Nothobranchius furzeri: one gene and its partner. The protein of the gene in region 1 purifies or fractionates together with the protein of each later gene. This does not show direct contact. Links are inferred from orthologs where the notes say so. Each region holds a gene or a part of one and is shown in the gene's direction. Other genes may lie near its edges.

Evidence for each region.
Region 2: the proteins of bccip (region 1) and eif6 purify together in Homo sapiens (affinity purification with mass spectrometry; 3 studies listed by BioGRID and IntAct, counting the BioPlex papers as one, with this or other methods). This does not show direct contact. The link is inferred for Nothobranchius furzeri from reciprocal best matches to the Homo sapiens genes BCCIP and EIF6.

Annotation. Positions count from the first base shown.
Region 1 is NC_091756.1:42,757,115-42,772,109, forward strand, and holds bccip (protein BCCIP homolog), read left to right. Parts: upstream 1-6,892; coding exon 6,893-7,033; intron 7,034-7,155; coding exon 7,156-7,230; intron 7,231-7,303; coding exon 7,304-7,384; intron 7,385-7,470; coding exon 7,471-7,557; intron 7,558-7,636; coding exon 7,637-7,824; intron 7,825-10,034; coding exon 10,035-10,203; intron 10,204-10,318; coding exon 10,319-10,489; 3' UTR 10,490-11,001; downstream 11,002-14,995. Other genes in the region: mmp21 (matrix metallopeptidase-21), read right to left, coding at 1,038-1,210, 1,285-1,542, 1,617-1,758, 1,838-1,977, 2,303-3,134, 3,244-3,390; uros (uroporphyrinogen-III synthase), read right to left, coding at 3,984-4,106, 4,195-4,293, 4,377-4,462, 4,595-4,678, 4,777-4,851, 5,379-5,453, 5,556-5,652, 5,753-5,836 and 2 more. UniProt on the Homo sapiens protein: During interphase, required for microtubule organizing and anchoring activities. During mitosis, required for the organization and stabilization of the spindle pole.
Region 2 is NC_091743.1:78,237,930-78,252,975, forward strand, and holds eif6 (eukaryotic translation initiation factor 6), read left to right. Parts: upstream 1-5,900; 5' UTR 5,901-6,103; coding exon 6,104-6,210; intron 6,211-6,281; coding exon 6,282-6,367; intron 6,368-6,449; coding exon 6,450-6,625; intron 6,626-6,718; coding exon 6,719-6,895; intron 6,896-6,967; coding exon 6,968-7,152; intron 7,153-8,777; coding exon 8,778-8,787; 3' UTR 8,788-9,065; downstream 9,066-15,046. Other genes in the region: microtubule-associated proteins 1A/1B light chain 3A, read right to left, coding at 10,869-11,031, 11,326-11,432, 13,959-14,014. UniProt on the Homo sapiens protein: Binds to the 60S ribosomal subunit and prevents its association with the 40S ribosomal subunit to form the 80S initiation complex in the cytoplasm. Behaves as a stimulatory translation initiation factor downstream insulin/growth factors.

The DNA of each region.
Region 1 (14,995 bases):
CCCACGACATCATGAGTTGCGTAACTACAGATGCCAGACACGCAGTACTCTACAATGGTCTTGAGCTCCATTTGTTAGGCTTTCTGAAGGTCTGTTAAAGTTTTTCATTGGACAGTGGACTCTAAAAAAGGTGATAAGAATATCAAACTAAGGCCCGTTGACACCGTGCATTTTCGGCAGTTGCAAAGGACTAATTCGTGTTTAGGGTTAACTGTCTAAGTCCTAGAAAGGAGGCACACTACACACCCCAACACTTTGTTGAATCAAATTCCCTCTATAGTATAGGACACGCCACAGTTATGAGCCCACACCACCAAAAAGCATACGCCAACAAAAGTCGACAGATACCAAAGATGTCAACAATGAAAGAAAACAAAGCGCCACCATTAAAACTCCTTTTATTAGACATCAAATGGAACTCCAAAAAGGACTGCTCCACCTGTTGTGCGTGGCCTACTATTGCATTTTACTCTCGTCAATAGTTTCTCGTGTCACTCCCTAGGTGTATTTTCATTGGTAGATTGAAGAACGGAGTCATAGATTTTCTGACACGACTTAAATACCATTGGAGGTAGAATTTGGCTTTGAGAGTGCTCAGTAGGCTGTTGATGGAGCGGTCACACTGGATGGCCACAGACCGATGACAAAAGATTTCTCTACGACGGACAGAAAACGCAGTTTGAACAGGGTTAGACAAGCGAGCCTTGCAAGAATGTATATTTTCCTACTGCTTATAACAGTGGAAAGCATCAGGAAAGTGTAATGGTTAGTGCTTGTGAGATTCTTGCTTGAGAAGGGTTTGGGAGGCAGAATGACAAAAGAATTCTGATGGAATAAAACTTGCAAATCCTTCCCCATCCCTCTCTGCTGTGCTTTAGCTCTGCCTCTAAAGCCCCGCCTCCTCATTCACATACAGGAAAGTAGCTACAGCAAATGTAGAACTGGCAGTAACCGTTCCAAAACCTACTAACACTTTTCATTCAGATTTCAGGCTCTGAACTATACATGTGAAAGAAACACTAATAAGTTATTTTTACTTTATCACCCTTGAAGAAGTAGATACAGGAGTCCCTCCTGTCATAATAAGCTGTACTGATTGGACTGGGCACACCTGGGAAACCCTCAGAAATCAGCTTTGGATACTGCTGTCCTTCTGAGTCTTGTCTGAAAACCTGGTCGTTCTCACTGTCATATCTCCAGAACTGTGTGCCTGTAAAAAAAAATGGAACGACATCAACTAAAAACAATTTATATTTTCAGAAAATTGTACAACTATCAATCTACCTTTGAAGAAATAAACATAATCTTTCTTTCTGGACCACACATGCACATATGCATCTACTCCATCACTGGGAAGCCCATGCCAGCCGATCTGCAGAGCAACCGGATCACCATATCGCGTTCTGTTGTTTCTGTTCTCGTACAGCCAGTACAAACCATCTCTCATGAAGTATGTGTTGAAGCGGATGGTCACATCCCCATAAGGTGTCTTCTCCTTTCTGATCCAGTCAAACACAGTGTCAAATCTACCTCTACACGCACCTGGAGTCAAACACATACATTTATAAAGATGGTCCAGATTCTCGGTGTGTATCCAGCAGATGGTGATGACGTACCGTAAAGATGCTGTATAGCTTTCCTGTCCATCCAGTCCATCTCAAAACTTGATTCATGGGGCAAATAGCTGGGCTGCATGATAGATCCAGGTCTGTAGATGTGGGGTAGGCCCAAAACATGGCCTATTTCATGAACCGCCACCTAAAAATGAAAAGCACCGAACCTCATTCTTCTTGATCATTTTTTTGTCTCTAATTCAATCCAGCACACCTACACTTACCTTAAGGAGGCTGATTCCACTGTGAGAGTTGGGAGCAGTGAAATGCTCATCATCATCAAAGTGTATATCACCAAGGAACCAGGCATGGGCAAATTCTTGCCCATTTCCGTCAAACCTTTGATTGCATCCCAAATGCCTTCCTGTATGCAGACAAATGATGAGTAATAAAACTCTACAACTGGCATTACATACAACTGAAGCCTTCTCAAGTCTGGTAACTGTCACTGTGCCAAAGTGTACTTTTGGTGAGCAACAGCAAAAACACAAAGCACTGAACCAAAATTCAACTGTCCCAATTATTTTGCAACTTTGCAGACAAGCACACGCGCGCACACACACACACACACACACACACACACACACACACACACACACACACCCACACCCACACACACACACACACACACACACACACACACATTTTCTAAACTCCAACAAATGAAAGATGTGTCCTCTGAAGCCTACCTGTGCCAAAGCCCAGCCTGATATCAACATCCTCCAAAGGTGACCTAATATCTTCAATAAACTCCAGTGGTGACACCTCACTCCACATCCTGAAAGCCAGTCTGAAGATGTACCTTTGCTCCTCGATACTCAGCTGACTGCTGTAGCCTTCTCCGATCAGCCGCCATTTTAGTACACTCTTAGAAAAAGCAATGAAACCAGTTTGATCCAGGTCTCTTCTCTGCCGCCTTTTTGACACCAGACTGGAAAGGTGGCGCTTCCTGCGTCTAACTGTGTCACTCAGACTTGCGTTCATACTAATTTTCCCCATCTGACCATCCAAACCACTGAAACTGGAGCTGTTCCTGTTTGTATCATTTGAAATACCCACGAGAAGAGTATCTGTATCATTAAAATTGAAAATGTCATCATCAGAGGAATTAGAGCTGCTGATGCCTGTCTCATTAAAACTGTCACTCAGACTGTCTTCGGTATCTGGTCCATCAGTGTTCTCAGGCTCTACGTAGGCGTCAATCTCCTTGTCGGGGACTCCACACCTCGGTTTGTTCATCGCCTCCTGGGTGGCCTCATCAAACACCCCTGTAACAGGCAGATCTGAAACTCTCTGGAACTCTTTAAGTGCTGAAATAAATGCTTGATTCCCAGTTTGGCTCACATGGACATCATGAGTGCCACTTCCGGGACCATCTCTTGAATGAGGCACTGAGGTCCCCTCCTGAATTTTGGCTTGTAGATCATCCAGGATGTCTTCACTGAAATAAGTGTCGGAGCTCTCCGTCTGGATCTCCTCCCAGTTAATCGGCTTGATGAATCCATATCTAGAGAGAAATAACTAAAGCAAGACCCAGAGCTGGCTTGTTTATTATTATAGATACAATTGGTAAAAAACAAACAAACATATATTTATACATATACACACACACACACACATTATAAATTACCTCGGCTTTGTATTCATCTGTAATAACAGGAGCCTGGTGAGTTTTAAGGATCTGAACATCAGAGTGATCCCGATTATGGAAAAGTTTCTCCGCGTTGTTTGGGATGGTCAGAAAGAGCAAAGCAATCAGCTGGATGGAAGTCAGCATCGTGCCGTTAGTTTTTACTAACAGCAGGAGCAGCACTGCTTTATAAGCAAATGTTTCTCCACACCCATCTTAGAGGAGGGACTGTCTGGAGGTTACACTTTCCTCAGTTGTGCGTGAAAAGTAAACTCATCAGTTTGACCAACCTCCATGTCATTCATGCTGCGATGATTTCAACAAACTGTCACCAAGCCGTGGACACCTTCACTTTCATCTGAGCAATAAAAGATGTAAAACACTTTTGCCAACACCTGCTTACACACACACACACACACACACACACACACACACACACACACACACACACACACACACACACACACACACACACACACACACACACACACACACACACACACACACACACACACACACACACACACACACACACACAGAAATGTTTTACGCAAGATTTGTCAAACTGATTAAGGTTTATTTTCAAAAATAATTTAAAATACATTTTTAATCAAATCTGAGATGAAAGAAAAATGGCTAAACTACATTTTTCAGTGCAAAATCAAGAAAAGGGCATCAAAACAATGACAAAAAAATCCCAAAACAATGAGAAACAATAAAAAGTGTATTTGTCTGGTTGATTACTGAAGAGCGTCGGCTATCGCTGCAGCCAAGTGTTGAGCTGTTGGTTGTTCTGCTGTGCAGCTGACACACAGACCCTCTGCTGCCATAGCATCTCGTGTGGTGGGCCCTATGGCTGCAAACTGGAAACAGAATGAGCGCTGAAGACCTGTGGCATGCTCCATAATCATCCATTTCATATATTTTTGATTGACCATAAGGAAACTTTACCTTAATTTGCGTCAGCTGTTCACCTGACAGCCTCCTTACAGCTTCCAGGCAAAACTTCACCCCAGACGGACTGAAGAATCCTACACTCCCTGGAATACCCTAAGAACACAAAAGCAAATAAACACTGGTTATATATGAAAATTATGTTTTTATCAAAATAAAAGAGGAGTTGGGAGTTTCACCTGCTTTGTGAAGTAGTTTTTTAGATTCTTCTCCAGATCTGGATGTTCAGTAGTTTGATAGACAGTCAGAGTCTCCAGGGGAACCCCTGGAAACAAAGAAACACATCCCCAATGTGACAAAGGTAGTGCAATTATTATTTTGTTAATTAGCTTAACCCCAGAGGGTATTTCGCCGACCTGAGCTTTAATCGTGAGACACAAAAGAGGGAAAATCTTACCATTTTCCCTTAAAGCCGTGGGCAAGACTTCTCTTTTAATTGAACCACAGGGGAAGAAAAGTGGTGGGATATTTTTTTCCTCTCCTAAGAAATGAATCAAATATCACTTCATTTCAGAGATTAGAACAATTAAATGATTATACAGAGGTGTAAAAAATGAGAGAACAAAAACCACATCGTACTTTCGATGATGAGACGTGATAGGACGTCTGCTGTCCCCGTGTCCTCACCCTCGGGCTCCAGACCCAGGCTCTGTACTGAAATCATAAAAAGCACAAAGATTATAACAGAAATGTTTAAAAAACGGGTTTTTACAGGTCTTGTCTACGTATGTAAAAAAACATTCTAGCTATTTTTAAATCACAACAAATGAGTGATTCAGGGCGTAAGGCAAAGCATATTAGAATACAGCTCTTATAGCCCCATCTACTTGCATTTATTTTTTCTTAGAGACCCATGAGCCGACTGGAAAAGGAGGAGACTTGGGCTTCCTACAATCAAACACTGACAATGGAGTCAGCTGCCACTAGACTAACAAGGTAAAACCAACATTAGGAAGGTTTTACACTTGATTGGTGTCTTCCAGATCAAATCCAGTTTCTGTGGTTCACAGCTTACTGCCACTTGTGTGTAACAGCAAACTGAAGGTAGTTACACTACTTTACGCACATGTATGAACACCAGGTGCTCGTCACACCCGGCTGCATCTTTCACTAGTTTATAACGTGCACTATCCATAAAAACATCTAGAAAAAAGGTGTCTGCAGGTGCTCTAAGAACTCACCTAAAGCTGCAGTAGCCTTCCCAACCACATAGATGGATTTCCTGTTCCATTTGTCTTTCAATGATTTGTTCCACTCTGGATGAAAAATATTGTTTTACAAATAATATTATTAAAATTCTCAAGCAGAATTGGCACACAGACACGCTAATGCTTTAATCATGCTTGTTTCATTTTGACCTTGTTTCCTATCTTTATCTTCCAAGCACAGCTTCACAGCTTCCACCGCTCTTGGACTAGTGAATATCAAGCCACCGTGTTTCTCTGGTTGAAGAAGCTTATGAAATAAATACATTAAAATGATCAGTGGTTTACACGTGCAGCCATAGAAAGTTAGGTAAATGACACACTGGTTCAGATAATGTTATTTAATTTACCTTATCTGACAAGGTGTTTGCTGAGATAAACTTAAAAGACAACACTGGAATTAGGGTTGCTTTGTGCCCACGTGATTCCAGCTCCTGTAGAGTAAAAAGCATAGCAACAAAGCAGTGTGTGTTTAGTTAAAACCACGTCATTGATTTGGTTAAACTGTTTCTACCTTAATGTAAGGATCAGGTCCAGACTCTCCATCTCTGGGGTCTTTAAGAAGCAAAACACGCATCCTGTCAATGAATAAAAGACAGTTCAACGGAGCCAATAACACAAGGTGGGTTTTGACATCTGTTAGAAAGGTATCAGCTGCTTTCAGAAATTTAAAGTAGTTAAATCAGAGGGTGTGGAGACTTAAGTAGCTCAGCTACACCCAGAAACGGTCACATGCAACCTACAGATAGCAACACTGTTGAGTCACGATCCCTGAATAGGAAAGATTATACACTAAACTATTATAAACTAACAATAACGTCAACTTGTATCGTAAAATCCGCTTTAGCGTAGTTGGGCACGTCGGTCTGTTGTTGCGGTCTGTCTGTTGTTGTTGTTGCAAAACACACTGACAGATTAGCCACGATAACGTTCCAGTTTAACCAAAAATACGTCGATTTTCAGCTATAAACGTTAATAGTTTTTGTTTAACATTAATTGCGCAATTATATTTGCAACAATATGCGGTTGGAAAGACGAAATAACTGCATAACATCGACATATATACATGCATAAGAATGAACACCTTCAGCTGTTCATCGGACGACTTCATTGGCATTTAAAAATAAGATGTCCAAAAATTGCCTGTCGATAAATGTCTCCCCAAATCTATGTAAAATTAGAAAATGTTTTATATTTACATTTTAAACATTTAAATAGGTCATCTAATGCAAGTTAGTGTTTATGTCACATATTTTAGAGACATATTTTCTATTTTATTCCAATATATTATTTACAACGTTTTCCCCAGTGTTAGGAAATGGTTCAGTCGCGTGAGCCAACATGGAGTCGACGTCTGTTCGGATCTTCTCGGGTGTACGCCCATTCCACAGTCATTTTGAGCCAAAATGGCGCCCGAACGTGTCCAGTTTCCTGCTATCCGTTAACCTTAGCAGCGCCTACTTAAATATACACGGGTTTCACGCTTGATCATGGCCTCATCCGCTAAGAGGAGAGCAGTGGGTTTGGGTGAGAATCCCGAAGAAAGCGACAACAGCTCGGATGAGAGTCCGGAGGATGACGGCGAGTCTGGAGAGGACGACAGCGAGGCGTCAGAGGAGGAAATCGACGAGGTGGCTAATCCACAAAACCCACGTGGCCTTTCTACCCGCTAGCTAGCATGTCCGTGATGTTATCATGAAGACATAATCATTTTTGGTTTAAAATGCATATTTTTTTTCTTCTCTACTTGCAGGAGGTCGTGGTGGATTTTGAAGCCCATGCGATTTCAAACAACGACTTCAGTGGCATTAAGAAGCTTTTGCAGCAGGTGCAGAACTGTGTGTTGTTGTCACATAAGCGTCACGAATAGTTGTCACTAATCTTTACTAGTTTGGACTCAGCTGTTCCTGAAGGCGCGTGTAGACACAGCAGAGATGACGGACATCATCATCCAGCAGAATCATATTGGGAGCGTCATCAAAGTGAGTCGTTTTTTTCCAGTCCCAAACTTTGAGGCGCTGCATTTTATCCCCTGTTCTGATTACGTTCCTCCTTCATCTGGTTCTAGCAAGCTGAAGTTCCAGAGGACAGTGATGATGATGACCCGGATGAAGTCTTTGGATTTATTGCTATGCTCAACCTCACAGAGAGAAAGGTAGGTAATCTCTGAAGATGAGTAAAATACGTGAATTTTTAACTTAATTTTGAAGGTTGTGGCTTTTCTTTTTTTTTAGGGCGTGCGGTGTGTGGAGGACATCAAGGAGCTGATATTGGATCAGTGTGAGAAGAATGCTTCTCACAGTGTGACTGAACAGCTGGAGCAGATCTTAAATGACACAAGCAAACCTGTGGGACTTCTGCTGAGTGAGCGCTTTATCAATGTGCCTCCACAGATCGCCCTCCCTCTGCATACACAGCTCCAGTGAGTGCTTCTTTTGCTGCCCAGTCTAACCACTTACAGGCTCCTATCAACAAATAATCACCAGAGAGAATAAGAAGTTCCTCTGAAGAACAAAAAAGAAACAGCACTACAAGAACATTGTGCCATCCATCCATCCATTTTCATCCGCTTATCCGGAGTCAGGTCGCGGGGGCAGTAGCTTAAGGCGAGAGGCCCAGACTCCCCTCTCCACAGCCACTTGGGCCAGGTCTCCTCCGGGGGAATCCCAAGGCGTTCCCTGGCCAGGTGAGAGACATAGTCCCTCCACCGTGTCCTGGGTCTACCTTTAGGTCTCCTCCCGGTTGGACGTGCCCAGAAAACCTCACCAGGGAGGCGTCCAGGAGGCATCCTGGCCAGATGCCTGAGCCACCTCAACTGGCTCCTCTTGATGTGGAGGAGCAGTGGGTCTACTCCGAGCCCCTCCTGAATGACCAAGCTTCTCACCCTATCTCTACGGGAGAGCCCAGCCACTCTTCGGAGAAAACTCATTTCGGCCGCTTGTATCCGCGATCTCGTTCTTTCAGTCACTACCCAAAGCTCATGACCATAGGTGAGGGTAGGAACGTAGATCGACCGGTAAATCGAGAGCTTTGCCTTCTGACTCAGCTCTCTCTTCACCAGGACAGACCGGTACAACGCCCGCATCACTGCAGATGCAGCACCAATCCGCCTATCGATCTCATGCTCCAGTTTTCCCTCACTCATGAACAAGACCCCGAGATACTTAAACTTCTCCACTTGGGGCAGGACCTCATCCCTGACCTGGAGAAGGCATTCTACCCTTTTCCGAATCAAGACCATGGTCTCAGATTTAGAGGAGCTGATTCTCATCCCAGCTGCTTCACACTGCTGCGAACTGCTCCAGCGAAAGCTGAAGATCACGATCTGATGAAGCCAACAGGACCACGTCATCTGCAAAAAGCAGAGACCTGATCCTCAGGCCACCAAACGGATGCCCTCCACACCTTGGCTGCACCTAGAAATCCTGTCCATAAAGGTTATGAACAGAATCTGTGACAAAGGGCAGCCTTGGCGGAGTCCAACTCTCACTGGGAACGAGCCCGACTTACTGCCGGCAATGCAGACCAAGCTCTGACACCGGTCATACAGGGACCTAACAGCCCCTATCAGAGGGCCTGGTACCCCAGACTCCCGGAGTACCCCCCACAGGGCCCCCCAAGGGACACGGTCAAACGCCTTCTCCAAATCCACAAAACACATGTAGACTGGTTGGGCAAATTCCCACGCACCCTCCAGGATCCCCCTAAGGGTATAGAGCCGGTCCAGTGTTCCACAGTCAGGACGAAAACCACATTGCTCCTCCTGAATCTGAGGTTCAACAATCCAACGGACCCTCCTCTCCAGAACCCCTGAATAGAACTTACCAGGAAGCCTCAGGAGTGTGATCCCCCTGTAGTTGGAACACACCCTGCAGTCCCCCTTTTAAATAAGGGAACCACTACCCAGGTCTGCCAGTCCAGTGGGACTGTCCCCGATGTCCACGCGATATTGCAGAGCTGCGTCAGCCAACACAGCCCTACAACACGGTGCCAGAGACGGAAAAAAAGTAACTCTCAGAACTTAAAATAATATCCATCAACATTGACATTTGTCGTAATGATCATGTGCACATGTGGGTGAAACATTTATTCTCTACATAAAGGTGCAGTCAAGTAGAACATGACCTTACTTTTGACGGCAGATCTGAATGAATCTGTCATAAAATAGCTCCAGTCTCAGTAGGATGTGTTTATATATGAAAGCAGTTTATTCATGGATCGTCACAGACCCTAACATCTACAGGCTCTGCCAGATGAATTTTCATAGCTTTATTAATGCATTTGTTGAACCTGCTGAGATCTCTGGTGCTGATGCTGCTGCCCCAGAAAACTACAGCAAGCACATAGTTCAAAAATTACATGAAGTTAAATCTGTCCTTATGACGTTTCTCAGTGCAAGAAGAAAACAGCTTTTGCCTAAAATAAATGATTAAACACTAACCTTCTTTGGGATCTGTGGGGAAAATCAATGAAATGAAACAGTGCCTCAATACATTTAATTCTGCAAAACTAAAAATAAGTTTGGTGATTTCAGAGAAATGGCCAAGCCCAAATTAGTATTTTCATGCTAACTGAAATGGCTTAAATATCTCCCAAGCTTGTTGATGACTAAATTCATCATGTCCTTTTTAGGAAAGAAATGGCTGAAGCTCAGAGAACCAACAAACCCAGTGAGAAGTGTCATTACTGCCTGATGGTCAGCAAGACGTGCAAAGAAGCTGCCAAGAACGTCCCGGCCAGAGGAGGAGCTCCTAAAGAGGAGTACATGTTTGTCAATGCCGAGGAGGAGTTCTTTTACGAGGTGAATGCTCTCTGTTTAAATACGTGATCACATACAGGGGAGTTTATATCAGTAACTTGAGCGTTTTACCTTCAAACTGTTAATAATAATGTCTTTGATGGGTTTGTTGTTGCAGCAAGCCATCATAAAGTTCCACTACTCAGTGCAGGATGATGCAGACTCGTGTTTGAGTGGCAGGTGGTCGTTTGACGACGTTCCCATGAAGCCATTCAGGACGGTGATGCTGGTCCCCGCAGACAGAATACCTGCAGTTATGGACAAACTGAAGGAATACCTGACAGTCTGAGACATTTCAGGACACGGTGAAGACCTGCAGCCTCATCAGTTGATCAAAAGCAGGATTACTTTCAAAAGTGTCCGTTTTAAGTGGGTTTTGTTTAAAAATGACTACAAACTGTCAATTAATTGTAAATGCAAAGGGCAGCTGTGTACAATTTGTCAGGTTTAGACTTAGTCTGACCCTTATGAGCTTTAAAATGACCGTTTATGATTTTGGTGTCTCCACTTGGATTAAAATGATGTCAAAGCGCTCTGTTTGAACACAGATTCTTCTGTCAGGTTTCAGTCTCTTTTATAATAATCCATTATCAGAGAAAGGAGTGGAGTTTATCTTGTTAAAGTATTTTTGTGGGTCACAAGTCTTTTGATCAATCACAGTCAAGGAGACAGCAGGCCAAACATTTAGATGCTGCAAGAGTGGTGTTCAATAGCCTGTTGCCCATTTAACAAGTTTGCCATCTGAAAAGTTGAATGTTGCATAAAGACTTTTAACGTGTAATAAATTGGTAACCCCTTATAGTTTGTTTCAGCTCACTTGATCACACTTCAGTCCCTGCTGCGCAGCTGCTGCTTACATCACTGCGGATCGTTTCTCTGTGTAGGGTTAGGGTTACAAACAGGACCTGCTGTTTGTCTCTACTCTCACTAGGAGGCAGCATTTAGAAGAAATGCATTAGTGCTATTTGAACCTGAAAATCATACCAACATATAAAACGTGAAGTCGCTACTGCACATAGAGATCACAACAATTGAGGAATAAAACAAATTAGCATTATCAAGGAATTCAGAGTAAGTTTAAAAACTACAAATATAAGTGGAAATGCTAATCCGCTACAACTGATGAATGAACTCACACGAGGGGAAACTTTGGTTCCAAAGCAGGGTCACGATATGGGAAGCTCAATCCTGATCAGGGTGTCCAGAAAATAATCCTGACACCACTTTCAACTCAGATCTGTCAGTCATTATGAGACACTTCAACCAAAGAACAAAACTTAATGTTTATTCTAATATCTATTCACATTGAGTAAACTAATTATTATAAGTCAGATATTTAAAGCTACAGATTGCTGTGAATGGATGAGGATGTACACTGGAGTTTTTGGCTTTGAAGGTGTAAACATGAGGGTGAGGTGATCCCCCTCAGCACGCTGGAACATTCTGGGGCACTGAAACGCCTTTTGAGTTGTGCCGGTGCAGGAAGCCATTTGGTTCTAAAGGACAAGAACCAACATAAACTATAAGTACAGCTCATTCTGGCTGTGAAGTCAAGATGAACTTAAGGGGCCAGACTGACAAGATGATCCTAATTTTGAACAAATTTCCATCATTGATGCTGGAAGCTTGTTCAGCTCCTATGCCTATGCCTGCATGCGGCTCTCCAGATCTGACGGTAAAACCTTGTGAGGGTAAAAGATTAATCCCTTTTTGTCTTTTGCCTTATAACAAAACTGAACACTTATTTGTTTTTACTCTTGTCTTTTTCATAAAATATGTTCCTGACTGTTTTTTTTCTTCTAAATGTATATTGTTCTCTTTTAACATTAACCTGCCAGAGGACTGCAGATGGAAATTAGCCTAAGGCTACAATCTGGCATATTTACAGTTGTAATGCTGTTCATAAATATGCATTGTCTTTTCTTTAAATGAAGTAATTAAAATAAAGATAATTTAGACCAATAAAAGACTATTGCAGCAAAGTGAGCAACATTTAAAATACATGACAGTATGTTTGGCTTGTACTTCCACTTCTTATAGTGCTGCATTAAACTAGATGTGTTGTACAATCTTTAATGAGCTGGCCTCTTTTCTGGTCCTGTTGGACTGGGTCAAACTCCGACAATAGTAACTCGCTGAGCTGCCAGCTCTGCTAAAGCATGGATGGCTGAGCCCAAATAGCCACACTACAAATTTATTTCTGGTTTTTGGGCCAACACACTTTCAAAATGCACCTCTTGACTGTGAGGAGATGCTATTTCTTGGAACAAGAAACATAGCTTACATCAGTAATGGTGTAGAGAAAATCTGTTGTAAATTCAGAATGTTTGTGGCAAATTCAAGCTTGTTTATGTCACTAGTGTAAATATTCAATCTTGCTTATGCCACTGGTGTAAAGATCAAGCTTGTTTATGTCACTAGTGTAAAGACCAAGCTTGTTTATGTCACTAGTGTAAATACCAAGCTTGTTTATGTCACTAGTGTAAAGATTCCAGCTTGTTTATGTCACTAGTGTAATGATTCCAGCTTCCATATGTCACTAGTGCAATGATTCCAGCTTCCTTATGTCACTAGTGTAAAGATTCCAGCTTGTTTGTGTCACTAGTGTAAAGATTCAAACTTGCTCATGTCACTAGTGTAAAGATCAAGCTTGTTTATGTCACTAGTGTAAAGATTCCAGCTTGTTTATGTCACTAGTGTAAAGATTCAAACTTGTTTATATCACTAGTGTAAAGATTCAAACTTGTTTATGTCACTAGTGTAAAGATCAAGCTTGTTTATGTCACTAGTGTAAAGACCAAGCTTGTTTATGTCACTAGTGTAATGATTCCAGCTTGTTTGTGTCACTAGTGTAATGATTCCAGCTTCCTTATGTCACTAGTGTAAAGATTCCAGCTTGTTTATGTCACTAGTGTAAAGATTCAAACTTGCTTATGTCACTAGTGTAAAGATCAAGCTTGTTTATGTCACTAGTGTAAAGATTCCAGCTTGTTTATGTCACTAGTGTAAAGATGTGAGCTTCCTTATGTCACTAGTGTAAATATTCCAGCTTGTTTGTGTCACTAGTGTAAAGATTCAAACTTGCTCATGTCACTAGTGTAAAGATCAAGCTTGTTTATGTCACTAGTGTAAAGATTCCAGCTTGTTTATGTCACTAGTGTAAAGATCAAGCTTGTTTATGTCACTAGTGTAACGATTCAAACTTGTTTATATCACTAGTGTAAAGATTCAAACTTGTTTATGTCACTAGTGTAAATATTCAATCTTGCTTATGCCACTAATGTAAAGATAAAGCTTGTTTATGTCACTGGTGTAAAGATCAAGCTTGTTTATATCACTAGTGTAAAGATCAAGCTTGTTTATGTCACTAGTGTAAAGACCAAGCTTGTTTATGTCACTAGTGTAATGATTCCAGCTTCCTTATGTCACTAGTGTAAAGATTCCAGCTTGTTTGTGTCACTAGTGTAAAGATTCAAACTTGCTCATGTCACTAGTGTAAAGATCAAGCTTGTTTATGTCACTAGTGTAAAGATCAAGCTTGTTTATGTCACTAGTGTAACGATTCAAACTTGTTTATATCACTAGTGTAAAGATTCAAACTTGTTTATGTCACTAGTGTAAAGATTCAAACTTGTTTATGTCACTAGTGTAAAGATCAAGCTTGTTTATGTCACTAGTGTAAAGATCAAGCTTGTTTATGTCACTAGTGTAAAGATTCAAACTTGTTTATGTCACTAGTGTAAAGATCAAGCTTGTTTATGTCACTAGTGTAAAGATTTGAGCTTCCTTTTGTCATTAGGGAACGTCCAGGCTTTTAAGAATAGGCTCAAGACCCACCTTTTTAGCTTAGCTTTTAGCTGATTACCATCTATCTAGTCTGTTTATGTCACGGCGTGTGGGCGAGGTGAGCAGAGGTGAGGTGAGGCGAGGATCCAACGCGGGTGAGGAAACCAGGCAGACAGGTAAGAACGTTTGAACATACACACGCAGGCCAATGAAACAATGACCCAACAAACTACAGAGAACAGAAGGGGTTTAAATACAGGAGAGTAAGGAGCTTGGGTGATTGGGAAAACGAGAAGCAGGTGGGAGTAATTAACGAGACACAAGGCTGAACCAAACAGGGAGACAGGACAGGGTGTGACAGTTTAACTGAATCGTCTGTCATATTTGTTTATATATATATATATATATACTCACACACACACACACACACACACACACACACACACACACACACACACACACACACACACACACACACACACACAAATTTATCTCTTTTATTTCATTTTGTCATTTTATTTACATCTTAGTGTTTTTACATGATTATGTTTTCTTTTACTATCTTTATAATCACTTTTATATCAGTTACTTTTTATCCATATTAGGTTTTGTTATTTTACAGTTATGTATTTTAATCCTCCAGTGTTTCCACTGCCTTGGGGCCGGTGGTCGGCGGCGGCGGCCGGGGCGCTCCTCGGGTAGTGCCCGGGCAGTGGTGGGGGTTTCTGCCCTCCCCCACTGGGTGTCATGGGCCGGTGTCTTGGCTGCTGCCGTGGATCTGTTGCTGTCAGGTCAGATGGCTCCGCTGATTATGTGTCATTCATTACCTGACCCATCTGAACTCAGCCTATTGTTTCCTCTGTTGTTCACGTGTGTGTGTGTGTGTGTGTGTGTGTGTGTGTGTGTGTGTGTCTGTGTGTGCATGGACGAGTGTACGGGTGATTTTATGTCCACTTTGGAAGTTGGGTGTGGGAGGGGAACCGCAATTGTCAATTGTTTTATACTTGGG
Region 2 (15,046 bases), on another chromosome or scaffold:
TTGGTTCTTGTCTTTCTGGATTTCTGGTTCTTTGCTTAGTTTGTTCTTTTCTTTCTGTTTTTGTTTGCCGTTTTCCTTTGTTTATTGCCCATGTCGGGTATCCGCAGGTCTTTAAAGCGTATTGTATGTGTTTGTCCTCTTGTTTCTCTTTCTTCTGTAATTATGTTTGTTTGGTGATGTAATGCTCTGATTACTGACATTTTGTGTATGGTGGGGTGTTCTGATGTCCACAATAGATATTGGTCTTTGTGTTGGTTTCCTGTATGTGTTTATGTTTAGGGTCCCGTCGGTCTGCCTGGTGATTTCCATATCCATAAATGCTATACTGCAGTAAATGTAGTTTCCAAATAATAAATAAGAGGTGCATTCATCTGTGTATCTCCTTTGATCCGCATTAGTGATATTCTCAGCACCAGAACAGTGAAGCAAAGAAACAGATTCCTGAGTTTGTTAGTAATTTTATTTATTAGGTGCATCTAACCTGTTCTATTTTTCTCTGAAATGAGATCAAATCAGTGCTTCTATGGGTTGTTTCCACTCTGCACCAGAAAATTTTACTTTATTTAGAGAAGTGTCATAATTTCTCCCCAAGCCTCCTATTTGAGAGCCCTCTCAACAGAGAAAATGTCAGCTAAGAAGGCCAGAAACACAATTCTCCTTCACGGTGTCCAGCTGGCCATGTGCATGTTCTCCTACATCTCCCCCAGTGTGGAGATTGTCTTGCAGATCATCATTCCAGGCCGGATTCAGGAAATAAGATTAGCAAATTATCTTATTGTCTACCTTCTGCCTTGTTTCTTGAGCCTAATAATCTAAGGCGTCAGAGACCTGAAATTTAGGAAGCATCTCAGGATGTACCTTCTGTGCTGCAGGTACAAGTACACAGTAAAGAAAGTAGATCCTGTAAACAAAGACAGCATATAAAAAGGTCATTCCTCCATCTTTGTTCTTATCTACTAGTTTTAATTCAGTGTCATGGGAAGGTCTTGTGGTCTACATGGACAATTCAATGATTGAATTTTGACTATTTAAAGGGATATTAAAATTGAGTTTTTGTCTGTTGACATATTTTCCAGAGTTAGATGCGGGGGAAAAAATACTAATTTAACCAGTCCAGTCATTCTGCTAACCTGGCTGTACTCCTTTAGCTTTAGCTTAGCATCAAACACAGTAAGTGAATGGATCCAACTAGCATTGTAAGTAAAAAAAGTTCAGTTGTGATCCCATTTCTGCTTGTTGACCTAAATATTCAGACTGACTGCAAGTGAATCTATCACAGGCATCATTTCAAATGGGACTACTTTATGACAAAGCACAACTGTAAGCTTCTGCTGAAATTAATTTCAAATAACTGTTTGGGAGTTTGTTTAAAAGTTGTTAATAAAGGTTTCTGAAAATATTATCACAGCGACCAGCATCGCGGCATGCGTTGCAATCGATGACACAATACTCCCTATCTCAATTTTGAAATTATTTGCACACTTGTGTACTACGCACTTGAAGCCTTGCTGCACACTTTTCCCAAGTGCACTTAGCTGAAGTCCGCAGGGCACGGTGCGAGTGTTGAGACTGGGCTGTAGACACTATTGGTTTTACTCAAAGAATACAGCTTCACCCACTCCTGCCATCATACATTAGTGCTGACTTATGGCAGAGAGTGTGAAGAAATAATATTTCAATCAATCAAATCTTATTTGTATAGCACCTTCCACTGCCTTTACAGAAGCCCAAGGTGCTGAACATAACATCAAAACAACAAAAGAGCAAAGAGACTATAAGACAGATTAAAACTGCATAAAAGAGTAACTAAAATAACAAAACAGATACGATAAAAGACTAAAATTCTAAAAATCCATATTACATAAAAGCCAAGCGATAAAAATAAGTCTTCAAATGACTCAAAGACCTGCAGAGATGGGGACTGTTTGACAACAAGTGGGAGCCTGCTCCATTGTTTCGGAGCTAGGACAGAAAAGGCCACATCACATCTTGCTTTCACTCTTGTTTTTGTGACGATGAGCAAATCTTGGTTAGCTGAGCGAAGAGAGCACATATCATAACTTTATTTATCTATCTAGTTTTTTATCTTGATTATTTATCTAAGTTTATTTATATATTTCTCTCGAATACTTATCTGTTCTACTGGTTTTCTAATTTTCTGTTGTATGTTAAGGAGGTCCCTCTCAAAAACCAGATGTTTCATCTCAAGGGGCTTTATCCTCGTAAAATATCTGAGCAGATCTATCAGGATTTAGGGGTGGGGGGTGAACTGGAGCTCCCAGAGAAAACCCCCCATGCAGCACAAAGAGACACAAAAATTATTCGGAAGAATATTTTCTGTGACATAATCCTTGTGTTGCATTTTTTTTTTTTTTTTACAGATTATTGGGTACACGTGGTGGTGCTGTGTGCCAGGGAAGGGACGTGATTGATAGTCACCCTTGATGGAAATGCTTTTCTAATTTATCTAAAAACTAACAATGAACACTTTCAGCATTCAAATAAACAAATAAACACCGGACTAAGTTAGATTTTTTTCAGAAGTCACTCAAATTTAAGCTTCATTCTGTTCTTAAATTGCTGCCATTTCAGCTTCAGTTTAACGTTTATTCCAGATGGGACCGATGTGTGTCTTTTTTCTGGTGGAATTGATTCAGGAATACTAGTAAGTAAATAAGTAAAGGTTATTTATAGAGCGCCTTTCACAGATATAAATCACAAAGCGCTGTACAACATGAGTAAAATCAGGGCAAAATCAATAAAAGCAAAATAAAAATCAAAACTGTGAAACCAGCACATAGGCTGCCTAGCCTATAGCTGTAAGTCCTGGGATAGGCAGTCTTATCCTGCTTAAGGATACTGCATATGATTTTACTGGGTGACATGCTGGACAGGGTAATTTCATAAATTTTTTTAAATAACTTCTTTTTACACAAATGAAGTCCAAATTTATCTGCCCATCTAAACGATTTCCCGTTGCTGTTTTGGGGAAGGGCAGTCTTATCCTGCTTTGTTAAACTGGGTGATGTCTTACTAAGGGACATCCTGGGAAGGACAGTCTTATCCAGCTTTGTTAAACTGGGTGATGTCTTACTAAGGGACATCCTGGGAAGGACAGTCTTATCCAGCTTTGTTAAACTGGGTGATGTCTTACTAAGGGACATCCTGGGAAGGACAGTCTTATCCAGCTTTGTTAAACTGGGTGATGTCTTACTAAGGGACATCCTGGGAAGGACAGTCTTATCCAGCTTTGTTAAACTGGGTGATGTCTTACTAAGGGACATCCTGGGAAGGACAGTCTTATCCTGCTTTGTTAAACTGGGTGATGTCTTACTAAGGGACATCCTGGGAAGGACAGTCTTATCCTGCTTTGTTAAACTGGGTGATGTCTTACTAAGGGACATCCTGGGAAGGACAGTCTTATCCAGCTTTGTTAAACTGGGTGATGTCTTACTAAGGGACATCCTGGGAAGGACAGTCTTATCCAGCTTTGTTAAACTGGGTGATGTCTTACTAAGGGACATCCTGGGAAGGACAGTCTTATCCAGCTTTGTTAAACTGGGTGATGTCTTACTAAGGGACATCCTGGGAAGGACAGTCTTATCCTGCTTTGTTAAACTGGGTGATGTCTTACTAAGGGACATCCTGGGAAGGACAGTCTTATCCAGCTTTGTTAAACTGGGTGATGTCTTACTAAGGGACATCCTGGGAAGGGCAGTCTTATCCAGCTTTGTTAAACTGGGTGATGTCTTACTAAGGGACATCCTGGGAAGGGCAGTCTTATCCTGCTTTGTTAAACTGGGTGATGTCTTACTAAGGGACATCCTGGGAAGGACAGTCTTATCCAGCTTTGTTAAACTGGGTGACAAATCATCGTCATCGTCACTTTCAGAATAAGAGCTGGAAAAGTCAAAATCACTATTGTGTGAAGATGAAAGGTTAGCACTAAATTGTTCACAAATCTTTACAAGTGACCAATACTCAGGTGTGAAAACATCTGACTTCTGCAGCACAGAGAGATCGAGTTCATATCCACAAAAGTCTTTGTCTGCAGGCTTGTAAGAAGGTTTATTGTCCTCTGCAGCTACCGACTCTCCTTCAACTGAACTCTCTTGTGAAGCTAGGGCCCTTTGAGTCGCTGTCCTGTCCTTATCAAGAGGCCCGATCTGAAGTGTCTCGTCACCCAGATCAAACACATTTGTTTCAACATCTCCTTCATCCAAAGCATCTTCATCTTGACTGAGTTCATCCTCACTAAATTCATCCTCTGAAACTAAACATTCAGCTTCAGATTCCTCTGAAGATAATACATTTTCAAACATATTTGGTTTAACATCATCGTCGGCTGAAGCTGATGTTTCCTCCTCACTAAATTCATCCTCTGAAACAAAATATTCAGTTTCTGCGGCCCCTAAATGTCCCTGTGACTCTAGCAGATCCTGAGTGTCTTCAGAAGTGATGGAGCAGTAATCTTCTATTGTGTGTGGAGCGAATGATGCTTCATCCTGACCTAATCCATCCAGAAGATTTACGAGTTCTGCTTCTTTTAGCTTGAAATTTTCCTTTAAATGGAATAAAACTTGAGGGTCGCTTTTATCTAAAGACAGCTCAAGATTGTCAGGATTCTGACCAAACAAATCCACGTTGACGTCTTCATAAGAGACAGATTTGTCATCAAAGATTTCCTGTGAAGCCAGAAACGTGTTTCTTGTTTCAGAGGCAAATTCTTCAGAAGACAAAAACTGAATAGAATCATCTTCTTGATCGAATAAATTCGTTTTCCCATCACTTTTTTGTGAAGCTGGTATCTCGTCTTCAGTTTGTCCTAAATTTGAGTTTGAAAAATGGAAAGCTTGAATTCTGCTTTCATCAAACGGCAACAACTCACGAACATCTGCTGCTTCAAACAAATTTGCTTTATGTGTTTCAGACGTTACAGGGACACAATCAGCGCCATTCTCTGAAACTAACAAGAATTTCTCTTCATCTGTTCCTGATTCCTCCTGGGAAGTTGTACTGGCACTCCCATCAGAGGAAAATATCTCATCAGGCTCTGAATCAAAGAAATATCTGTTTTGTGAATCGTCAGACTCATATTGGTTGATTTCCTCGTGAGCCTTGGCAAATTTCTCATCTGGAACAGCTGTAACTTGGGATTCATCTTTCCAGAGACATCCCGTTAAAGTGACAACTGTTCCTTCTAAGTTTCTGATATTTTCATGGTTGGACGCTTCTGCAGTCTTACAGCCGGCATTACCTGATGCACCGTAGTCCAGCAGAGAAGAGAATTCTCTTTTTGGGTCAATAAGTGAATGTTGGTCATTTTTCTGGGCATCCGGTGTTTCTGTGGGGCTGGCTAGGGATTCAGACAGGCAACCTCCCATTTCCTCAGGGAAATGTAGCTCTGAAATCTGAGATTCATCTCTCCCAGGATAAGCGACTGAGATTTCTTGTAAATCTCTGTTTCCATGGCTGTAAGGTGTCTCTCTGCCTGGACATTCAGAAACCCTCCCCTCACCGTGAGAAGTAAATAGAGTAGTTTCTCTGTCAGAGTTGGTTCTGGGTTCAGGTCCGATGATAAAATTGTCTCCAGACACTGACTGGAATAATTTTTCTAAAGCTTCATCAAATTCTTTGTTTTCTTGCTTTTCGAAGAAATAATCAAAGGTTTGTCTAACAGTTTCAGTAAAATAGTTTCCAAAAAGGACGCCTGCGAGTAAAAAAAGCATCTTGCTACAAGACTCTCTGAGCAGCGACTGACCTGTTCCGTGTGCTTGAGCGAGCTACCGCTGGTGTCATAAAGACTAGGGAGATCACGTGACGTCCTGACGTCATCAAAGGAACGATCACGTGACGTCCAGACTGCCCAGTGCCCACCTACTAGCGTCTTACGTCACCACGTTAACCAGGCAGCGGAAGTCATCGCGTGAGCTCGGAGGAAGAACTTAGAAGCTTCCTCGCGTGTCGGGAGTCCGCGAGGCGCGTTTGGGTCTGTTTACGCTCACGTGGAGCTAAAAGTTAGCATTAGGCCGCGTTTAGAGAAGTCTCCGCTCGGATCTCCACTACAGTTCTGCTAGAACCCGCGCTGGTTCCGGTCCTCAGCATGGCGGTCAGAGCTTCTTTTGAGAAGAACAACGAAGTCGGCTGCTTCGCCAAACTGACCAACACCTACTGCCTGGTGGCCATTGGCGGTTCAGAGAACTTCTACAGGTGAGTGTGATACGTCACGGACTACTCTAAAACAAACGTGACGTCACAGTGTCGTGTTTGTGCGTCTGCAGCGTGTTTGAAGGAGAGTTATCAGAAACCATCCCGGTGGTTCACGCCTCCATCGCAGGCTGTAGGATCATCGGCAGGATGTGTGTGGGTGAGTGGGACAGCACGTTCTCTGGTGGTTCTGCTGGTTCCGACCCGGTTCTGTACCTTCATCCTCCTCCTCCTGTGAGCAGGTAACCGCCATGGCCTCCTGGTGCCCAACAACACAACAGACCAGGAGCTGCAGCACATCAGGAACAGCCTCCCGGACTCGGTGAAGATCCAGAGGGTCGAGGAGCGGCTTTCTGCCCTGGGGAATGTCGTCACCTGTAACGATTATGTGGCTCTGGTTCACCCCGACCTGGACCGGGTGAGGCGAACGGAAGTTGTCCCGTTGGAGCCACCAGTGAAGATGTAGACCAGGTGAAGGCTGCCTGTCGGCTTAACGCTGGTTTTCTTTCAGGAGACGGAGGAGATCCTTGCAGACACGCTGAAGGTGGAGGTCTTCCGTCAGACTGTAGCCGAGCAGGTTCTGGTCGGTTCCTACTGTGCGTTCAGCAACCAGGGAGGCCTTGTCCACCCGAAGACGTCCATCGAGGACCAGGACGAGCTGTCGTCCCTGCTGCAGGTCCCCCTGGTGGTGAGTGATGGTGTCTGCATGTGGAGTCTGGGTCCAGGTGGGTCCTCTACTCAGAACTTTGCTCATTTCCAGGCAGGTACCGTAAACCGAGGCAGCGAGGTTATCGCTGCGGGGATGGTGGTGAACGACTGGTGTGCGTTCTGCGGCCTGGACACAACCAGCACCGAGCTGTCTGTCATCGAGAGTGTCTTCAAGCTGAGTGACACGATGCAGCCGTCCGCCATCGCCACCAGCATGAGGGACTCGCTGATCGACAGGTACCAGAACCGTGTAGTCTGACAAGAGGTTTTAAACGTGTCGAATGGTCTGCATTTGAGATAGCGCCTGCCAGAGTCCTGGAATCCCCTAAGGCACTTTTCAACACCGTCATTCACCCAGTCACTCACATTCACACGGTGGTGGTGATGAGCTACGATGTAGCCACAGCTGCCCTGGGTCGCACTGACCGAGGCGAGGCTGTCGAGCACAGGTGCCACCGGTCCCTCCGATCACCACCTAACCCAGAAACGCCTTAATGGGCATTTCTCCTGCTAGATGTTCGTCAAAATAAAAGTCTACACTAACTGATTGTGTCGCACCACCATGGCAAAAAAAAAGCCACCAGACCTATAGAATATATGTTAATTAGATTTTTTAAAGATACTCCAACTTGTTCTGTTTGGGATTTTATTCCAGGCTACTGTTGGCCCACGCCTTACTGCCAGTAAAAAATGTTAACATGTTCACACTAGCTCGTTTTCTCTTTCTAAACAACCGAACCAGAACTCTCCAGCCAAGAACACCCCCTTCAACATAAAAGTCAAACCCTAACAAATCGTAACCCCTCACGTTATTGTAAAACAATGTAAAGCGTGAAATATACAGTCTATAACTGCGCACTTATACTAACCATGATCATAGTTAGAAATGAATTAAAATATGATGAAACATTTAAATTTTATTTTATTTTGAAAAGCCACTGGCTTCTTCCTGTCTAGCTGCGGTGTTTCGGGTGAGCTTCTCATGAGAGACAGTCCAAAGTATAGGAGAAAAGTCGGTGTCGTGCCTTATGGACAGTCTCCCGTTTGGAGTCTGATATTTAAACTGTGTATAAAGCAAGGGGCGGGACTTAAATGCAGGATCGGAGAGCGTGGAGCGTGCTCACGTCAAACCAGCAACACAAATGAAAGGGCAGGGTGGGCACAGACGATCAAGAACTGTATTAAGGATGGAGAACAAGTAGATGAGCGGAGAGAATCTTATTTTGAAATATCGGAGGTGAAGTAACATTTCAGGAGCAAGTAAACAGAAGAGGTCGTTCCCCATTTTAGCAGCTGGCCGGATAATATTGGGGCGGGCCCCTCCCAAGTCTAGGCTGGGGCCCGTTGCCCATCCGAAGCTCCGCCCCTGGTTGTGATACGAGGTTCAACCTCCTCAGTAGCCTAGTGGAGTGTTCACCCTGGGACCAGGAGATCAGGGTTCAAACCCGGTCGGGTCATACCAGCTGCAGCTCGCCGCCCCCCATGGGGATGGGTCAGGTATCTAGATGTAACTCCACCAGTGTGTGGTGATGAGAGACTTTACCTTAGCTTAAATGTCCCTGGTCCAAGTGTAAGTGCGGGGGAAAGAGGCAACAAAATCCTGAAAACTGTCCGAGTTTGAACTTGCTGAGACAACTGTGGGACATGCTGGAGACCAGAACAAAGACTCGTTGTGACTAAACCGCTGAAGAAAACAAGCTGTTGGCCCCAGTTTGCTGATGGTTTAGTGACTCCATGCTAAGTTTACTCTGGCTTCTGTATAAAAGCGTGAATGTTGCAGCTGCAGTGTCTCCTTCCTGTTTCCTGTCACCGACTGAAGATGCTCCATTAACTCGACGGCATTTTCTCTGCTTGTTTCTCAGCATGGCGTAAAGCTGCCGCCTCTGACCGCTGCTGGGAGGACCAGATGTAAAACCTAGCTGCAGCCACAAACACCCGTTGTCCCTGAGCAGAAGAACCAGGCCTAGAGCCTGGTCTGGGGTTCTGCTGCGTGTCACCCAGGATCTAAACCGGACTTAAAACGAGCTCCTGGGATTCCTCGGAAAGCTGGCGAATGAGAACTCGTGTTTGTTTCTCACCAGGTTTTTGTGTTTTGAATGTAAGAAATCAGACTACGGGGATGCTTTCTGTACAATAAAACCAAACTCTTATCTGTTGAGTTCTTTATGAAGAGAAGCTGCAGGGTCGCTCCAGCAGCCGCTGCTCCTGAATCTGTTGAACAGAACCAGAACAACAGGAAGGAGTTCTGATTCTGGTGATCATTTAAAAACCAGAACGTTTATTTTTTTAATTTCTTTCCTTCAGGTGAACACCTGTGTTCAGGTACAAGAAAGGATGCAAATCTTTAAAGGCAACTTTTTATTTATTGGCAAAAGCTGTTTATGTACGCCACAACAGCGCCACCAGCAGGAAGCTTTAAGGAACAGTTTTGGTTTGGGGAAACGGCTAAAAAGTTTAACATTCAATTAAAACACCTGTAAATTAAAACCAATACACATTTATATGTAAAAGAAAACAAGTCCATTTGTAAACTGTTGTACGAAGAAAACAAAAGCATAATTGTTATTCTAACAGTTATTTTTAATTAATGTGCAAAAGAAGCTCAGATTTCGTTTTAGCTCCACTTGGTGCTGCTGTAAAGATTATGTACACCAGCAGGGGGCGCCACGACATCCAGCTCTACGGGGTCTGTTAGAGCCAGTGCATCTCAACACACACACACTAGTGTCCTGTGACCCCGCCCCTTTCTCATGATGCGTTTCAGAACCACTGACCACATCCGGTTCAGAGTCCAGGTCACCAGACCAGGTTGTTTTAAAGTCAGCATGTGAGTACGTGCTGTTGTGCTTACAGAGGTGTGTGTGATCAGGTCTGAACTAAACTGGGAAATATTGCACTTTAGATCAGTAAACTGGTCTGAAAAACAAAAAAGCTGAAATGATGGATTTGATGCAGGACGCACCTGTGCTGAGTTTAACTTGACTCATGATGAGAACTAACGAATCGTTCTTACCAACTAAAGGTACGGCTTAGTTTGTAGGATTCCTCCAAAATAAGAGGACTTGAGCAGCAGTGGATAAAATAAAAGCACAAACAGGAAATCCTCTGGTGTCCGACCTAATCTAAAGCTCGGATCCCACTGTGCGATTTGTGACCGTCTTAGCCAAATCCCTCTTCGGGAGCATAATCGTGTGAAAAAAAAGCTGAACGTGAGGGCGATTTGCAAATCTGTGGTGGTCCGGTCTGCAGGGCTCTGCGACGGCTTTTTGAGCCTTCTCACAGCCAAAGACGGCCTCCGACAGTCTACGAGCATTCATCCTACGACTCCTGTCTGCAACCGACCAGAAGCAGTTTAAACTTGTTTAAAATGCGGATTATAAACGACACCCCAGTTTTTAGTTTTGTTAATAGCCCAAGCTAAACCGGAGTTAAGCTAAAAATAATTAAACTAATTTTTAGACCATCAGCTGAATTGTGAAATCTAATTTTGTGAGAGTGAGACGAGAGCAGCTCACAAGAACAAAAAATAAAACAAAAACATAAAACCCCTTTTCTGTTGGTGGAAATCTCACATATTCAACCAATAAGGATGGTTCAGTAGCGTTTAGCTGCAGGGGGACACAGGAAGCTGCGCTGGGTCATGAGCTGACTCTATAAAGAAATGTTAACGCGGTGCTTTATTTGATCTTTTCAGCTTTCTTTTGGCTAGCGGTCTGCTTAGTGGTCTGCGCTCATGACGCCGCGTGTCCTGCTGGAGCGAGACGTCATGCAGTCTGCCTCACAGGAATCTTGCTCCGTGCCGTGTGGCACAGTTCTGGAATTCTCACAATGCGACATGAACAATCTGCCGCAAATCGCACAGTGTGATCTAGGCTTAAGGAGGGGATGTTGGTTTTTCCTGTGAAATCTTCATCTGTCTTCCCTCCACCTGAAAATGCTCTGCCCCCTCCCTCCTAGCAGCCAAAGGTCTCCTGCGAGGCGTAGACCATGTAGAGGAAGCCGTCCTCGTCCCTCTCCTGCTCATAGATCTCAGAGATGGGGGTGGACACCGACACCATGCTGTGCTGGTTGACCAACAGGAAGAAGGCCTGGGTGGGGTTGAGCTGCAGCCGACGCCTAGCAAACCAGAAAATAAACGAGGGGTAACGGCTTACTGATGGCGTAGATTCATAACTTTGTGAGGTAAAGTTTTCATTTACCAAAACCAGAGACGTTTACGGAGGTAAATTGCACACAATTCTCCAATATATAAGAAGGGATTTTACAGAACCCCCCTGGAAATGCAGGGAAGTAAAAGTAATCAAAATTGCCCAAATTTATGATGAGAGATAAGAAATATTAGACAATGTTAATGATCCAAGAGAAGCTGAGCCTCCCAACAGGCCACTCGGCAGACAGGTTTCAGTTTACCTGATGATCTTCACCAGCTCGCTCATGTTGACGTGATCCGGTACCAGGAACTTGGTTTTGTCCAAAACTGGCAGCTGTTTCTCACCCTTATACCGCTCGATGATCACCTGCACACATGAAACCACGACGTTTAACAGACTGTGCCTTGCAAGCCTGTTGGAGAGCTCTCAAATATCCTTGACCAAGCAGTGTTATGTTAAATTCACAGCCCCCCCCCCCCCCCCCCCCCCTTCAATCAGGGAAATAAAGTACAGAAAAATAATTTTACTTGCTGATAAAAAAGAAGCAGAAACTGCTTGGATGACCTGTTAGTGCCGTCAGCAACCGCAGCTTGCCCTCTGTGTCCAAATAATCCAGGGGACTGCCTTAGACTGGTTTAGGTCCTACTTCTGTGACCGCACCTTTAATGTTATGATGGGTAGTGCTGCCTCCCCCTCTGCGGCTTTGACTTGTGGTGTTCCCCAGGGCTCTATTCTTGGACCCCTTTTATTTAATTTATATATTTTGCCCCTGGGTGACATTTTTAAAAAACACCACATTGATTACCATTTTTATGCAGACGATTGCCAATTATATGCCTCTGTGAAGCCTAATGACTCCTTACTGCCCCTTGTTGAATGCTGTAATGATGTGAAGAGCTGGCTGTCAGAAAACTTTCTTTTGCTGAACGACGCTAAGACAGAGGCCATCATTTTCAGCCCTGGTACTTCTCAAAGTCCCCAACTGACCCTTCCATTTATCACAAGTGGGTTGAAAAACCGTGTCACAAACTTAGGGGTTGTGATGAACGCTAAACTAAAAATGGACATTCATGTCAACCAGGTAGTTAAGATCTGTTATTACCACCTGAGGCGTCTCTCTAAAGTTAAGCCCATTTTAAAAAGGCGTCATCTTCATTCAGTTGTCCATGCATTTATTACTTCCCGTCTCGACTACTCTAACTCAGTGCTATACGGTATCTCCTCCTCCACTCTCGCTCAACTTCAGCTTGTGCAGAACGCAGCAGCTCGTTTCTTGACTGGCACCAGGCAGCGGGAACACATCACACCGGTTTTAGCAAATCTTCATTGGCTCCCCATCCATCTCCGGATAGAGTTTAAGATCCTGGTTTTTGTGTTTAAATCCCTAAATAACTTAGCACCTGGCTACTTGTCTGAGCTCATTCACCCATATGTCCCTACAAGATCTCTCCGATCAGCTGACCAACACCTCCTACATGTCCCTAGCTCTCGCTGTAAGTCCCGCGGGGAGCGCGCCTTTTCAGTTTGTGCACCGAAGCTCTGGAACCACTTGCCCCTCCCGATCAGACTCTCTTCCTCTCTTTCCCTTTTTAAGTCTCGTTTAAAAACTCACTTTTATTCTCTGGCTTTTAATTCTGTCTAACTTATTCCCTTTCTACCTTTCCTTTTAGGGTTGGATTACTTGATTTTAATGGATTTAGTTTTTATTTTTGATTGTTTTTATTGTGTGTTTTGTTCAGCACTTTGGTCGGCTCTCATGCCGTGTTTAAATGTGCTATATAAATAAAATTGGTATGGTATGGTATGGTAAATAATCCGATGATTAAATGGTAAATAGCCTGTATCTGTATAGTGCCTTAGGGTTCTACAACCCCCCAAGGCGCTTCACAACACAGTCATTCACCCATTCATACGCTGGTGGTGATGAACTACATCGTAGCTAAAGCTGCCCTGGGGCGCACTGACAGAGGCGAGGCTGCTGAACACAGGCGCCACCGGTCCCTCCGACCACCTCCAGCAAGGCGAGTTAAGTGTGTTGCCCAAGGACACAATGACAGAATTCTCTGGTCTGAGCCGGGATTGAACCTGCAACCTTCCGATTACTGGACAACCCACTCTACCTCCTGAGCTGCTGCTGTCCCTTACATCCAAGCACAAACCCACAGAGGACACAGCTAAAGTTCAGAGTCAAAATGGCCGAACGTCCATTAACATGAGGCCTTTCCTAGAGCTAGCTTGTAGCTCTGGTGCTCAATAATTATTCATAATTTCAAGCATTTAATTACAGTCAAAGAGTTATAAAATAACTCACCCCCTCAGAGTTGTCATAAATGTTAGAAAGATCAGTCAAACCTAGAATGGCTTTTTGAACCAGGCTGTAAATGTGTTTATTTATGCTGTGAAACTGGCTTTTTTAACATGGGAGTCAAAGGGAACTTGCTCTGTTTTGGTACTAGCCCCTAGCGGATGAGGGTGGAACTGTAATTTTTGGTACTTCCATGCTGGAGCAAAGCCAGCGGCCTTGATCCCTTGGTACCGACGCACACTCAGAAGCATAAGCTCGGCTTAAATAGCGCCAGATACATGGCTATAACCAAGCAGCTGGCGGTCTCTGTTTTAGTTCAGATAGTCCTCGTGGGCATGAATGTTCCGTCTAAGAGAAGAGCAAAACACTTTGCTTCCCTTCTCAGTTATCCAGCATCAATTAACAGAGGCTGCCTGTGAGGTTCACTTGAATTAAAGAGAACTGAATCCACCTGAGCATAGTCGGTGGAACCGACAGATCCTTGAGTGCACAGATGCACTTTGTTAGGCAGGCATTTATCAGGAAGGCATCGATGTTCTAAACTCGCTTTGTGGACTACCCCCCAGGTTCGTGCGTGTGCAGCTTACAGGGATCTTGTTTGGGTGCTGCTCTCGGATCTGCTGGACCTCTTTGCATCGATCAGCTGTCGACAAAACAAATAGACAGCATGATGAGATTAGGAAGTTTACAGCAACAAGAGAAGATGTGTTTTGGATTGGTGGCCATATTGCAGCCATTTTGGATGGTAGGCTTTCGACTCCGTGTGTCACTGCAGATGGCTGCTTATGCTGATCCAGGATCCTCTGGAGGTTTCTTCCTGTGAAGTCTCTGACACAAGTCAGTGACTCGATGCAACCTGCTGGGTTACTTATATAGGAAACTTTTTACTGATTGCATTAATGAACTGAACTATTGGAATGTTTACTTTGAGAAGCGCCTTAAGAGGACTTGTCGGGATTTGGCGCTTTATAAATAAACGGAATTATAGATAGGGTGAGAAGCTCAGTCATCCGGGAGGAGCTCGGACTAGACCCGCCTCTCCTCCACATCGAGAGGAGCCGGTTGAAGTGGCCCGGGCTTCTAGTTGGGGTGCCTCCTGGACGCCTCCCTGGTGAGGTTATCCAGGCACATCCAACTGGGAGAAGACCTAAAGGAAGACCCAGGACACACTGAGGGGACTATGTTTCTCAGCTGGCCAGGGAACGCCTTGGGATTCCCCGGAGAAGCTGGCCCAAGTGGCTGGGGAGAGGGAAGTCTGGGCTCCCTGCTTAGGCTGCTGCCCCCCATGACCAGATTCCAGATAAACGGAAGAGGATGGATGAAACTCATTTCTAAATGAAACCATCATAACCACGTTCTGGACCTTAGCATGGGTGTCAAACTCTGGTCCTCAAGGCCCACTATCCCACATGTTTTAGTGTTTTCCCAGTTTCAACACACCTGATTTCAAGCTTGGGCCTCCCTGCTTAGACTACTGCCTCGCGACCTGATCCCGCGATATATTTGCATCAACCAAAATAATCGTGGTTATCATTTTCGCCATTGGCCGGATGGGTCTCTTCCTGATGACATCATCCTGTGGTTCCAGTCAGAGATGTTAGGGTGTTCCAGGTGAAACTCCAGTTTTAGAGCTTTCTATCAACCCGTTCCAGGTGTTCATCTACATAGTTCTCAC